Linked DNA regions of Danio rerio. The protein of the gene in region 1 purifies or fractionates together with the protein of each later gene. This does not show direct contact. Links are inferred from orthologs where the notes say so. Each region holds a gene or a part of one and is shown on either strand. Other genes may lie near its edges.

Region 1 (3,654 bases):
TATATATATATATATATATATATATATATATATATATATATATATATATATATATATATATGAGTATCAGGGTGTATACAGGAATCAGAATGAAATTCGAAACATTTTAAGACCTTTTTAAAGACTCTGCCCATACATTAAGACCTCATCGCCAACATTTTAACTTGCAGTATATTTATATATATATATACTCTCTATTTCAGAGGTCACTTTCTCTATTTTCTATTTCAGAGGTCACCACAGAGGAATGAGCTGCCAACTATTCTAACATATGTTTTATGCAGCGCGTGCCCTTCCAGTCGCAACCCAGTACTGGGAAACACCTATAAACACTTTATAAATTATTTATAGTCATTATAAAATTACTATCATATGGTTGTATCAATGCAAATGATAAATAATAAAAAAAAATAATAATAAAAAAAAATAATAATAATAATAAACTGCTTGGTTAAACTAAAATTATAAATGTATTGATATAAAATAGTGCTTCTCCAAATGAAATAATTCTCAAATAACCTAAATCAAATAAAAAAGTGAAGGTGAATTCTCTTTTTATAAAATAAAAATACATTTCAAATTAGCAATTGGTAACATGATGGTACAACTATTTCAGTCATTTGAAAAAAACAATTAAATAAAAGCAATTAATTAAACATTTGCTCCATGGAGGAAGAGAATTCTGCTACATGTGAGTCACAATTACATTTAGATAAGCTACTTTAGAAGCATGTTGAAGTTTCTGATTTGTTTGTTTTCTTTTGTTCATTCCACTGTGGTGACCCCTGATAAATAAGGGACTAAGCTGAAGGAAAATGATTGAATAAATGTTTTGCTAAATCACCCAGCCATGGTTATAAGGCATTAGAGATTTTACAAAACAAATAAAAGAACTAAAAAACCCTAAAGACAGGCAACTATATGAACACGCCTGAAATACGGCAAGGTGCAACACAATCTCCTCAGCAGGCGGTAAGTGTTAAACACAGCGCACGCAGACTGCACTTACCATCTTTTTGTTATTCTACTTCACCATGTGAAGAACCAGAAGAAAAAGAGCGTAAATATGACAAGAAATTCAAATAGGAGACGTTAAAGACTTTCTTTCAAATAACAAAGCAAATTAAATTTTAAAAGTAGTTCCTACTGTTGAAGACAAAACTATTTGCCCTCCTGAGAATGACTGAATCAATCAATTAATCAATCAATCAATCAATCAATCAATCAATCAATCAATCAATCAATCTATCTATCTATCTATCTATCTATCTATCTATCTATCTATCTATCTATCTATCTATCCACCCATCCACATCCATCCATCCATCCATCCATCCATCTTAAGTGCTGTTTAATAGAGAGAAACATTTCAACACATTTGTTAAATTAAACATAATGATTTTAATACCTCTTTTTCTAATAACTAAATAATTTTGTCTTTGCCATGATGACAGTACAAAATATTTTACTGGATATTTTGCAAGATACTAGAGTAATTTGAAGGCTTAACCAGGTTAATTAGGTTAACCAGGCAAGTTCCATTAATTAATCATTGGACAACAGTGGTTTGTTCTGCAACCAAATGGATTTTTTATGTTTTGCGTTAACTTATTAATATAATTAATTATTATTTTATCAAATGTTAAGGCAGCTGTTTTTTAGTATATAATATTTTCAAACTATGTTAAAACACTGGCTCTACACATACTGGGAAGCCATAGGTCACAAGCGGTAGGGTGATTGTTTAGTATTGGCTTGAGAAAGGCATCATCTCACTTCTCAACCAATGAAAACATTTGCGGCGGGGCTAGGACAGTCGCTGCTGCCATGATATGAACAGGATGGTACAAAAATTATGGATCAAAATGGTAAACTCTTAAATGCAAATTTTCAGTTTAAAACACTTCCAAACTGCTATAAATAAATAAATAAATAAATAAATAAATAAATAAATAAATAAATAAATAAATAATTAAAATAAAAATTTTAACTGTAAAATGTTATGGGACTGTTATGTTTTTGTACTTGTTCATACACTTACTCGGTACTTTTAAAATAAAAGTACACTTCTTTTGAAATCACTATTGATTTTTGTGCATAATGTGATTAATCACATATAACCTTGTGAATATTCACAATTTGAAAAATGTATCGTTGCCCAGCAATACTTATAATATTAACCTTATGTATACATTTTTTAAAATGTTTTTATTATTTATTTTTTTTATTCAGCCAAAGCAAATGAAATACAACTTTCTTCAGAAGAAAAATATAAAAGGAGATACTGTGAAAAATGTAAAAGATCACTTGGGAAATATTTGAAAAAGAATTCAAATTTCACAGGAGGGCTCATAAATTTGTCTTCAACAGTAAACAAAGGCATAAAAGCACAGAAATCTCTGACATTATTTAAAAAAAACAAACAAACGCCATGTTAATTATGTGACCTGGCAGAGTGTGAATGTGGAGCTCACCTTAATCTCAATGTTGCCCACTTTAGCTGTGGATCGGATGATAGGTCGGCCCACCAGTGCCGGGAAGATGTGCTCTGGGAAGTTGGACCCAGCGTAGCCACATTTCACAAACTGATGGAATAAGAGAGAGAAAGACAGAACATTTTGTGATGAATACTGTGATCATCCAGCAAAATAAAAGTACATGTATGACTACATTATTAATATTTATAATCTACACTATAATTTGAGTTGTGGTTTTTAGGTGACTTTTTGAACAACAAACAACCATATATTATACCTTTGTTTTCAAATAAAAAAATTAAATGAACAAAAATGAAATTCACCACTAGATGGCGTGTATTCACAACAAACAAAAGTGTAGTTTGATGACTGCATGACTGGGTGTAGAATCATGCGAGTTGCTGTAGAGTAAGGTTGAAAGCAGTCAAACACTGAAGCAAATGCTGATGAGAGATGAGTGTGACTCGGCAGGAAAGCAGCAGAGCTTTGCTGCTTTCCAGTCTGCAAAAACCTCTGTAGTCCTATGCATATAAAAGTACTTTAGGAGGAGCACAGTGGCTCAGTGGTTAACACTGTCACCTCACAGCAAGAATGTTGCTGGTTTGAGTCCCGGCTGGGTCAGTTGGCATTTCTGTGTGGAGTTTGCATGTTCTCCGCGTGTTGTCATGGACTTCCTCCGGGTGCTCCGGTTTACCCCACATGTGGCATGGGTGAACTGGATGATCTAAATTGGCCTTAGTGCATGAGTGTGTGTGTGTGTGTGAATGCCAAAGTGTATGGGTGTTTCCCAGTACTGGGTTAAGACTGGAAGAGCATCCACTGCATGAAACATACTGTACATTGCAGACTCAACATTGCAGATCCTGTAGCAAAAAAATATATAAAAAATAAATAATAATAATAATATTTTTTTTTTTAAATTGCAATATATTTTGTTCAGCTCTAATCCAACTGCAGAATTTAAAATAATAAATAATGACGTCATTTTAATGTGCAATATACTCTCTTAGTATTTTCTATATTTAAAAGAGCTCCAAATAATTGCATTGTTGCATTTATACATACAAAACTAGCTAAAACAACACAATTCTTGAAGTTTTTTTATTTTTTTTTTATGGGACATCTTAATTGTTTTGTTCAATCAATTTAAAGGGTCACGAAACACCAAAACACATTT
Region 2 (4,326 bases), on another chromosome or scaffold:
TTTTACTTCAGTGATTGATTTTGCTTGTCATTTTTGCAGGATCATCATCATGCTGCTGCCCTTTTTCACTGTCCCTTTCCACATCATTTGGCCTTCATCATTTCCTGTCTTGTAGCAGTATTTTCACCTGTTTTTAAAATTGTAATAATTTTTGATGCATTAATTGTTGACTGGTTTTAATGATCAATTGTTTATTAGTGTTCTGTTGCTCTGTTATATTGAATTACTGCTACTGTTTTAGCATGGTTTACACAATAAACCTTTATTGTGAAGTTAAAGTTTTAGTTTCTTTATTTTTCTTGTACGTCTTGAACAGTTAGAACAACACTTGTGCAATTTTTGAAAATTTTTTACCCATTATAAAGTAGCACTGTTAAATATAATAAAATAACATTTAATAACTGTAAAATACTATACAGTAATAATGAAAGTAACGTTAAGATACCGTAGTTCTTCATGGTAAAAATGTACAATAAAATACTGTTTTCAGTTTTGCAGTATGTGCACCACTACTGTAATTAGTGTTACAGTAAAAATCAACAACAGTAAAATGATGTATTACATTTTACAGTAAATGTAATACTAATGTAATTAGTATAACAGTAATGTTACTGTTTTATGAAATACAGCAGCTACTGGATAATTGTTGCCAGTAACTTACTGTTAATTTAACAAGAAATCGTTTACAGTGCAGCGTCTATGGACAGAGTAAATTTGATGTTAATCTCTCTTCTGGCTGCCTTTTTAGTCTCACAGTATTTCTTCCACATTCTGACAATCTTGAGAACACAATTGTTGATTGTTTCTTTTATTTCAGCAAATAGGATTGTAAAAAAAAAATATTTTATTGTACTCTGCACTCTCAGAAATAAAGGTACAGGAACTGTCAGTGGGGCAGTACCTTTTCAAAGGGTATATCTGTACCTGAAGGGTCAATTATGATACTTCAAAGGTAATTTTTAGGTACATTTGGGCACAAATATGCACATTTGAGGTACCACTGTGGACTTTTTGGGTACAAATATGTATCTTTTGAAAGGGTACTACCCCAGTGACAGCTCCTGTACCTTTATTACTGAGTGAGTTATTTCTTTATTTCAGGGTGTGTACTAAGTGTACCCAATGACGACTACTATGGATGCCAATGGCTGCTTTCCGCCCACATTCTTCATTAATTTCGTTCAACAGAAGAAAAAAATAAAAACCACAAAAATAATGAGGATATTGTCATGTTTGGGTAAACTATCTTTTTAATAAATCACCAAAAAGTTACCTTGATTTGCCAGAGAGTGTAAATTTACAACAACTTTTTATCTTTAGAACTGTCCAGAAAGAAAAGTTATAAAATTATTTTTCATCGCGATCAAAATCTGCACTCTCCTGTGTGACCTGTGGAGCCTGTCCTGCTCACACACACACTCCCATCTCTCACCATTGTCTCCTGAATGACTTCAACACGGGCACGCCCACTGCTCTGCCGTGCGTACGCATGCGCGCTAAGCCGTGTGCCATTTCCTGGATTCCTTGACAGGCCGAAATCAGGGAGCAAGAGAGCAGTCGGAGTGAATTCGTGTCGACTGTCCAGAGTCCGCGAATTCAAGTCCGTCCAGCGTTCAACAACTAGCGAACATCTTTACGAAGATTTGACCGAGAAAGCGGAGCATCTGTTCAGGTAAAGGAGGCCCGTGTCATGCCTTTTTCCGTCAGCAGGGAGCGGACTCAACCGGCATCTTGAGAAAGGCCTTCCTGATCCTCAAATTTAACAGAGCACGAACATTTGTGTAACTTCAGTCGCGCTAAAATAGCGTTTGCGATTATATAAGGTTATACAGACTTTTAGCTTTATATCCGGGGTCGTTTTTTCTGCTTTCTGTGTGATTGTACTGGAATTGATGTGTTTTTCGCGTTAGCTTTCGGCTAATGTAGCAGGCAGACAGCTCGCGAACAGAAGCCCACGGCATCAGATATTGATCTTCTGCTTCATCCACGCCCTGAAAATCGGGAACTGACAGCCGTCATCCTGTTTTGCTGGTTGAAGAGGACTCTTTTTGGCTTTAGTGTGTGAATTCAAACGAAAAACTGTGTAGGTGTAGTTGAGGACATGGACTGACGGACGTGATTTAGCCCCGGGCTGTCAGTTTATCAGTGCTGGTTTGGGTAGTTTAGAGCAAATTTAAAGCTATTTACAAGAAATTCCAGAGCGCATACTCGGAAAAAGAAGTAATTAGGAGGGAATTAAAGTTGAGAGACATAAGTTTAATCAAAATGTGAAGTTCTAATATTTAATCATTTCTTTTCTGCTAAATAAAAAAGCAAAAACATAAATCTTGGCGTGTCACTAAAGTAGGATCGCGTTAAAAACAGGACTGGATCAGCTTGTGTCAGTATATCTTTCCCGCCTATTGTTCATATTCGACCCACTCCAATCCCATTCCAGGTTTTGCATTTGCTTGTTTAGAAACATTAATAGTCATGGTATTATTATTTGTGTGAACAGTTGTTTTATTATTTCAGTTTTTGTTTAATATAGAAAGGACACAGCATATGACTATATCGTAAAACAAAACCGAATCCCCACCCAGGTAGACTTGTTCTGTAATAACAGAAGTTAAATATAAGATTGCTGTAAAAAATGTATAAATAATAAAAAAGAATAATGTTAAAATAAATAAAGAGTAGAAGTTAAGTAACTTACAAATAAAAAACTATGACATCATGAGATGCATAAAGTCAGGCCCGGCTCTAACCAATTTGGCGGCCTAGGCAAGATTTCAGGTGGCGCCCTGTCACATCGCAGTAAAATTCCACTGCTAGTGTGTACATATAGTCATAAGAAACTAAATAGCTTTTTGATCGACTACTACAAGCTGGGAAAACGTCAGATAAATATGCCAAGCAATCAACAATATTGCTGAATATCTAATATTTACACATTTGCTTGAGGAAGGAATGATGGGGGTAGTTACATTACTATTACTATTTTCCATAACATCTATGCCCTTCCATAACATTAGCTGATGTTAAAACTAACAGATAGCACTATAGCTATTTATTGATTAGCAACCATGTTATGCCATACCTGTCAACAAATAGCTTCAAATAAATACATAGTAAATATTAGAAAATATTGACAATAAAGTAAAAGGTTTAGCCTATTAAAATCAATGGCCTATACTGAAATTAAATAAAGCTATAAAATCTCCTTCACTTTTGATTGTATTTGCATATTGATTAAAGTTACTAGTTATTTAGTGAAGAGCTGCAAATGAATCTCTCATTGTGTTTTGTTTGATAACAGAGGTGTTACTTTAAGAATGCACTGATCTATAATGAAAGCATTTGTCTTCTTTAGTAACTGTTTGTGCTCATTTAAGAGAAAAATTATTTGTGTTTAAAATAAAACACGCCGAACGAACATGTTTACACATTATTAAGGGTATTTGTCTGTTTAAACGCACACCCGAATCACCAAAGTATCCTAAACTTTCGCTCCTTTACAAATGGCGTGTAGAGAAGCTGATCTGGGAACAGTTTATCATACGGAGTGCGTCAATAAGTTAGCATGCATACAGATGCACTGAATGTGGTTGCGACAATCGATACCAGCTTTAATGAAAAGAAGTGAATGCAGAATCTTTATATTAATTTTATCATGCTTTCAAGCCAAAATAAAGCGAAAGCATGGCTAATTATCTTCACCAGCTCTTGCAATTCTTTCACATTTGAGATCGGCTCTGTATTGATGCTACTTTCACTTTTCATATAAAGATTAAACGGGGGAAATATGGAAAAAATTAAAGTGATAGTGGGCAAAAACGGGAGGGTTGACAGGTATGTGTCATGCTAATTGGTAATGGTGTATCAATCATCGCTTGGATACAGCAAAATAATCATCTTTATCGTAACATTATTCTGTCGTTGTCAAGTTTTTCTTCCTCTTCTTTTTCTTTTTTGCCTCCCCTGTGCACCAGGCAGTTTGGCATTTTGGCATGTTAAGCTTGTTGACCGATCAAAAAAACAAACCGTGTAGCACAGTGGTGTCAAAGTCAATTCCTGGAGGGCCGGAGCCCTGCAGAGTTTAGTTCCAACCCTGCTTCAACACACCTATTTGGAGGTTTCAAACGAGCCTGAAGGACTCAATTAGTTTGATCAGGTGTGTTTAATTAGGGTTGAAACTAAACTGTGCAGAGCTGCGGCCCTCCAGGAACTGGCTTTGACACCTGTGTTGTAGCAGGTAAAGTCTAATTATTCGAATGGGGGTGTCTTAGGTGATTAGGCTACCGTTATATTATCATTATTATTTAATACTACTACTACTTAGTAGGC
Region 3 (4,166 bases), on another chromosome or scaffold:
AATACCTTTGGGGGGTTTTCACCTTTAAATGGACTGGACAGTAGAGATTATTGACAATAAATCATGAAGAGCAGAGAGAGATGAAGGATTCGCATAGCACTGCAAGGCGGGAATCGAACTCGGGTCACCAAGAGCACGAGAGTGCATGTGTCTACGCACTAACCACGCACTGGCACAGACAGAAAAACATTTTCTATATATAACAAAACACTTCTGGCTGTTTGCAGTATTTTCTTAGTAATAAAGTGACAAAAGATACCCACTCTAGGTCTTCTTGAAGCTTATGCATTATAAAAAAGCCCTTAAACTGAAGATCTTTTTTAAAGAGTGCCCCCCCTCTGTTTTATTTTTTTAATTGAATTTATTCATTCATTTTCTTTTCAGCTTAGACCCTTTATTAATCTGGGGTCGCCACTTTAGAATGAACTGCTAGAATTATTTATATATTTTGTATTATTATTATTACATTTTTCTCTCTGTTTTCTTGCTGATATTTTGACTTTTTTGTAATTGTACAATGATTTATCCTCTTACTGTTACATGGTATTTTGTATGCTTTTCAAGCATAATAATAAAAACAGATACCCACTCTGAGTAAAAAAAAAAAAAAAAAAAAAAAATATATATATATATATATATATATATATATATATATATATATATATATGTGTGTGTGTTAATTTTTGCGCAAGAAATGCATGCAAATTACTGCATGTTTAATTAAATTATAACTTATTTGCATATCTACAAGTGACGTTTTTTGAAACTTGTAAAATGTAATAATAATAATAATAATAATAATCATATCTAGATTTCTCAAAGTAAACACCCAAGGAAGCAAGGCAATTGTTTTTTAAATTATACTTACCTTCAGTTTCTTCCATTAAATGTAGCTGCTTTAAAGGACAGCGAATAAACAACCTCCCAACAAACACACAACGTTGCCTCAACGTAGCGACCTTCCTACAACGTTGTACCAACATTGCAAAAAGGTTGAGGATTCTACGTTGTTGCTAAAGGTGTTCACAACGATGTCATAAGGTTGCCATTTAAACATCATGAGGGTCGCATGCTTTAGGTTGTGCTTAGGTGGCGTGGACGACCACTGTACAACATTTACTGGTCACAGCTGAATCAGTTTAAATTTCAACAAGCCGTCGTCTCATTCATCAACGACCGAGGAGACGTGAGTATTGCTTTATTTCTTCTTGCTAAATAAGATACGTAAATCGTGAATATTCAAACAAACCTACGATTTCGACAACAATCTTTTCCAACATCACATGTTAAATCTCTCGATAAAACATTTCCTGATTATTTACCTACGCCTTGTCTTTAATCAAATGGACAATAATGTTTTTGAAGTTCATTTTTTTCCATATCTATCGTGATCAGTTAGTATGATACTTCATCACACGAGCCGACCCACTATTTACAAAACACACAAAATAACTTTTAAAAACAAAACATCTCTGTGTAGATTGCGTCCCGTTAAAGGAACAGTTAATTTAAAAATGATATGTACTCACGAATTATTTGCCCTGTAAATAATAAGTGATTCCAAACCTTTAAGTTTCTTTATTCTGTTGAACACTAAAGACTGTAAGCATTTGCTTTCATAGTAGGAAAACACTATGGAATTACAGTTACAGTTTTCCAGCTTTATTTAATATATCTTCTTTATTGTTTAGCAGAAAAAAAGCTAAATAAGTTTGCAACAAATAAAGGATGAGGCTTAAATGGCAGAATTGTCAGTTTTGGGTGAGCTATCCCTACAAGTTAAAGTATATAAATTAATGTTCATATGCCTAATTAATATAGATAGTAATTAAAAGGTCTGCTAGTCTAAATTTCTATTTTAATTGGTCTTTTAATGTTTTATTTAAAACCCACTCTTTTCTTTACTCAACAGGCTATTTTTACATGGAGGTAATCTTCTATTGATAATTTCTGGATTTTAATTATGCGTAAGTTGCATAAAACTCTATTGTTTAACCACTCACTGTTGTTTTCAAATTACTTATGTAACTTGTCTTTCAGAATGTTTTCAGCTGTTGAATTCACCTCAGATCAGTGTTGCTGTAATTCCTGATCTATGGAAAGAAGAATTGGATGAGGTAAGAAGTATACTACTCTATTTACTATTAAATGTAGTTATGTTACCTAAAACAGCATGTCCATAATGTGGAAAATAGATCATGCTTATGAAAAATTACTTTATTATTTTGTACAGCTGTTATTGAAATGACACTAAGTTTAACATTCCATTTATAGCGAGCAACGCCACAACTACAGGGCCTGTTCTTTCTCTTCTCATAATTTAAGTAAGTATTCAGAGACTAACTCTGACTTCTGTTAACTCAAACCTGTTTTCCCTGTATCTCTAAATTTATTTAATTGTATGTAATTTTGGTAAAATAAATGAATAATATTTCATATTTAGCAATACTGGAAAAGAATTGTTGCTTATCCTGTATTCTAGGCAGTATTGATAAACTGCCACAAAAAAATATTAATACAAGTAGTAAGAACGCCGCCTCGCGGTTGCTGAATGTCGCACGACAACGTTGCTACAGCCTTCTCACGTCTTACATTTCTACGTTGTGACAATGTAGCGAGCACGTAAGAGACAACGTTCCCTTTAAAAAAATACAACGTTGTGCAGACATCGCTACAACGGATATGTGTTTGTTGGGCTAGCATTAAGGCATCAAACTTTTGAAATGACCATGGCGCAAACAGCACAGTGATGTTGGCTGAAAACCAGCAACCAGCACATAGAAAGAAAAATAGCAAGCGACAGATGTGCATGAGTTGTTGCAGTCACAGATGATCATAACTCACCCTGTCGGGATATTGCTTCTGGACACAACCGGTACACATTTCTGATCAGACAGATGTAAAAATATGTACAGTATAGTCCAGATCAGAAGACGCTTCCGTGTTTGCATTCTTCGGTGAGGTGAACTCTCTGTATGATTTGTGAGCAGCGCCACCCTCAGACTTTATCCACTAAGGGTTCTCTTTTTAGAAGAAAACAGGTTCTTTTGAATATTAAAATGTTTTTCGTATTAAAAAACGGTTTTATTGAATCTTAGAGATTCAAAAATGTTTCTACCGTGACCCCTCTATACAAATAAATAAATGTTAATGTATTTTCATCCAAAACCAAACTAAAATTAATTCGCTTTCTTTTTAGCTGAGTCCCTTTATTAATTAGGGGTCGACACATGCAGCGGAATGAACCACCAACTTATCCAGCATATGTTTTACACAGCGGATGCCCTTCCAGCGGCAAACCAATCACTGGGAAACACCCAACAATCTAAACTAAAATCTAGAATACAAATTACTAAAGACTAAATGCATGTTTTACTACCGCAAAAATAAATATAAATAGCAAAAACATAATTACTAAAACTTCAAGTACATGCTTAATGAAAACAGATAAGATAATAGAATAAAAACAAGTTACAAAATCGGTAGAGCTACGCATCGATGAATTTGCTCTTAAGTGTTTGGACTCTCTGTAGTGATTTTAAACCACACTGAACTGAGCTAAACTGAACTGAACTTAAACACTTAAACTGAACTACCCTGTTCCAGTTACTATGACCATTTATGCGAAGCTGCTTTGACACAATCTGCATTGTAAAAGCGCCATACAAATAAAGCTAAATTGAATTGGGGAAAAAATACTCACCAATATTGTTAATAACATACAGTCAGATACTAATAACCTAGCGTGCCACATTGGGGATGAGTGATACTGTTTTTCTTTTTTCTTTTCAATATGGTTCCAATACTTTTTTATACAACAACAAACAATACCCATTTTAACAATACCAACACTGATACCTATACTGTGGTATTAAAATAAATAATGTTAATATTTAGAAAGAAAAAAAATCATTACATCTAAATACACATATCACATTATAAGTATTGCCTATGTATAGCAAAAGCAATCTTGAGAACAAATAAATGATAATAATAAAGAAAATGTTCAATATTATTTTACATAAACAAGATTTCTGCTTTTTGTTATTTAATACTAGTAACACTTTTTATTATATTATAAAAAGATAAAAGTTAATTAAAATATCAACAATAGATAAATAAATAAATAAACTTTTCTAAAGATTGCCTTGCTATAAACGCGCTTT

Evidence for each region.
Region 2: the proteins of actr2b (region 1) and arpc1a purify together in Homo sapiens (affinity purification with mass spectrometry; 9 studies listed by BioGRID and IntAct, counting the BioPlex papers as one, with this or other methods). This does not show direct contact. The link is inferred for Danio rerio from reciprocal best matches to the Homo sapiens genes ACTR2 and ARPC1A.
Region 3: the proteins of actr2b (region 1) and churc1 purify together in Homo sapiens (affinity purification with mass spectrometry; 4 studies listed by BioGRID and IntAct, with this or other methods). This does not show direct contact. The link is inferred for Danio rerio from reciprocal best matches to the Homo sapiens genes ACTR2 and CHURC1.

Annotation. Positions count from the first base shown.
Region 1 is NC_133188.1:6,002,733-6,006,386, forward strand, and holds part of actr2b (actin-related protein 2-B), read right to left. Parts: intron 2,586-3,654; coding exon 2,475-2,585; intron 1,025-2,474; coding exon of another isoform or gene 1,010-1,024; intron 1-1,009. UniProt on the Homo sapiens protein: ATP-binding component of the Arp2/3 complex, a multiprotein complex that mediates actin polymerization upon stimulation by nucleation-promoting factor (NPF).
Region 2 is NC_133178.1:39,749,339-39,753,664, forward strand, and holds the start of arpc1a (actin-related protein 2/3 complex subunit 1A), read left to right. Parts: upstream 1-1,501; 5' UTR 1,502-1,672; intron 1,673-4,326. UniProt on the Homo sapiens protein: Probably functions as a component of the Arp2/3 complex which is involved in regulation of actin polymerization and together with an activating nucleation-promoting factor (NPF) mediates the formation of branched actin networks.
Region 3 is NC_133195.1:28,615,751-28,619,916, forward strand, and holds the start of churc1 (protein Churchill), read right to left. Parts: upstream 2,942-4,166; 5' UTR 2,884-2,941; coding exon 2,845-2,883; intron 2,330-2,844; exon of another isoform or gene 2,275-2,329; intron 2,118-2,274; exon of another isoform or gene 2,041-2,117; intron 1,968-2,040; exon of another isoform or gene 1,913-1,967; intron 1,187-1,912; exon of another isoform or gene 1,105-1,186; intron 1-1,104. UniProt on the Homo sapiens protein: Transcriptional activator that mediates FGF signaling during neural development. Plays a role in the regulation of cell movement.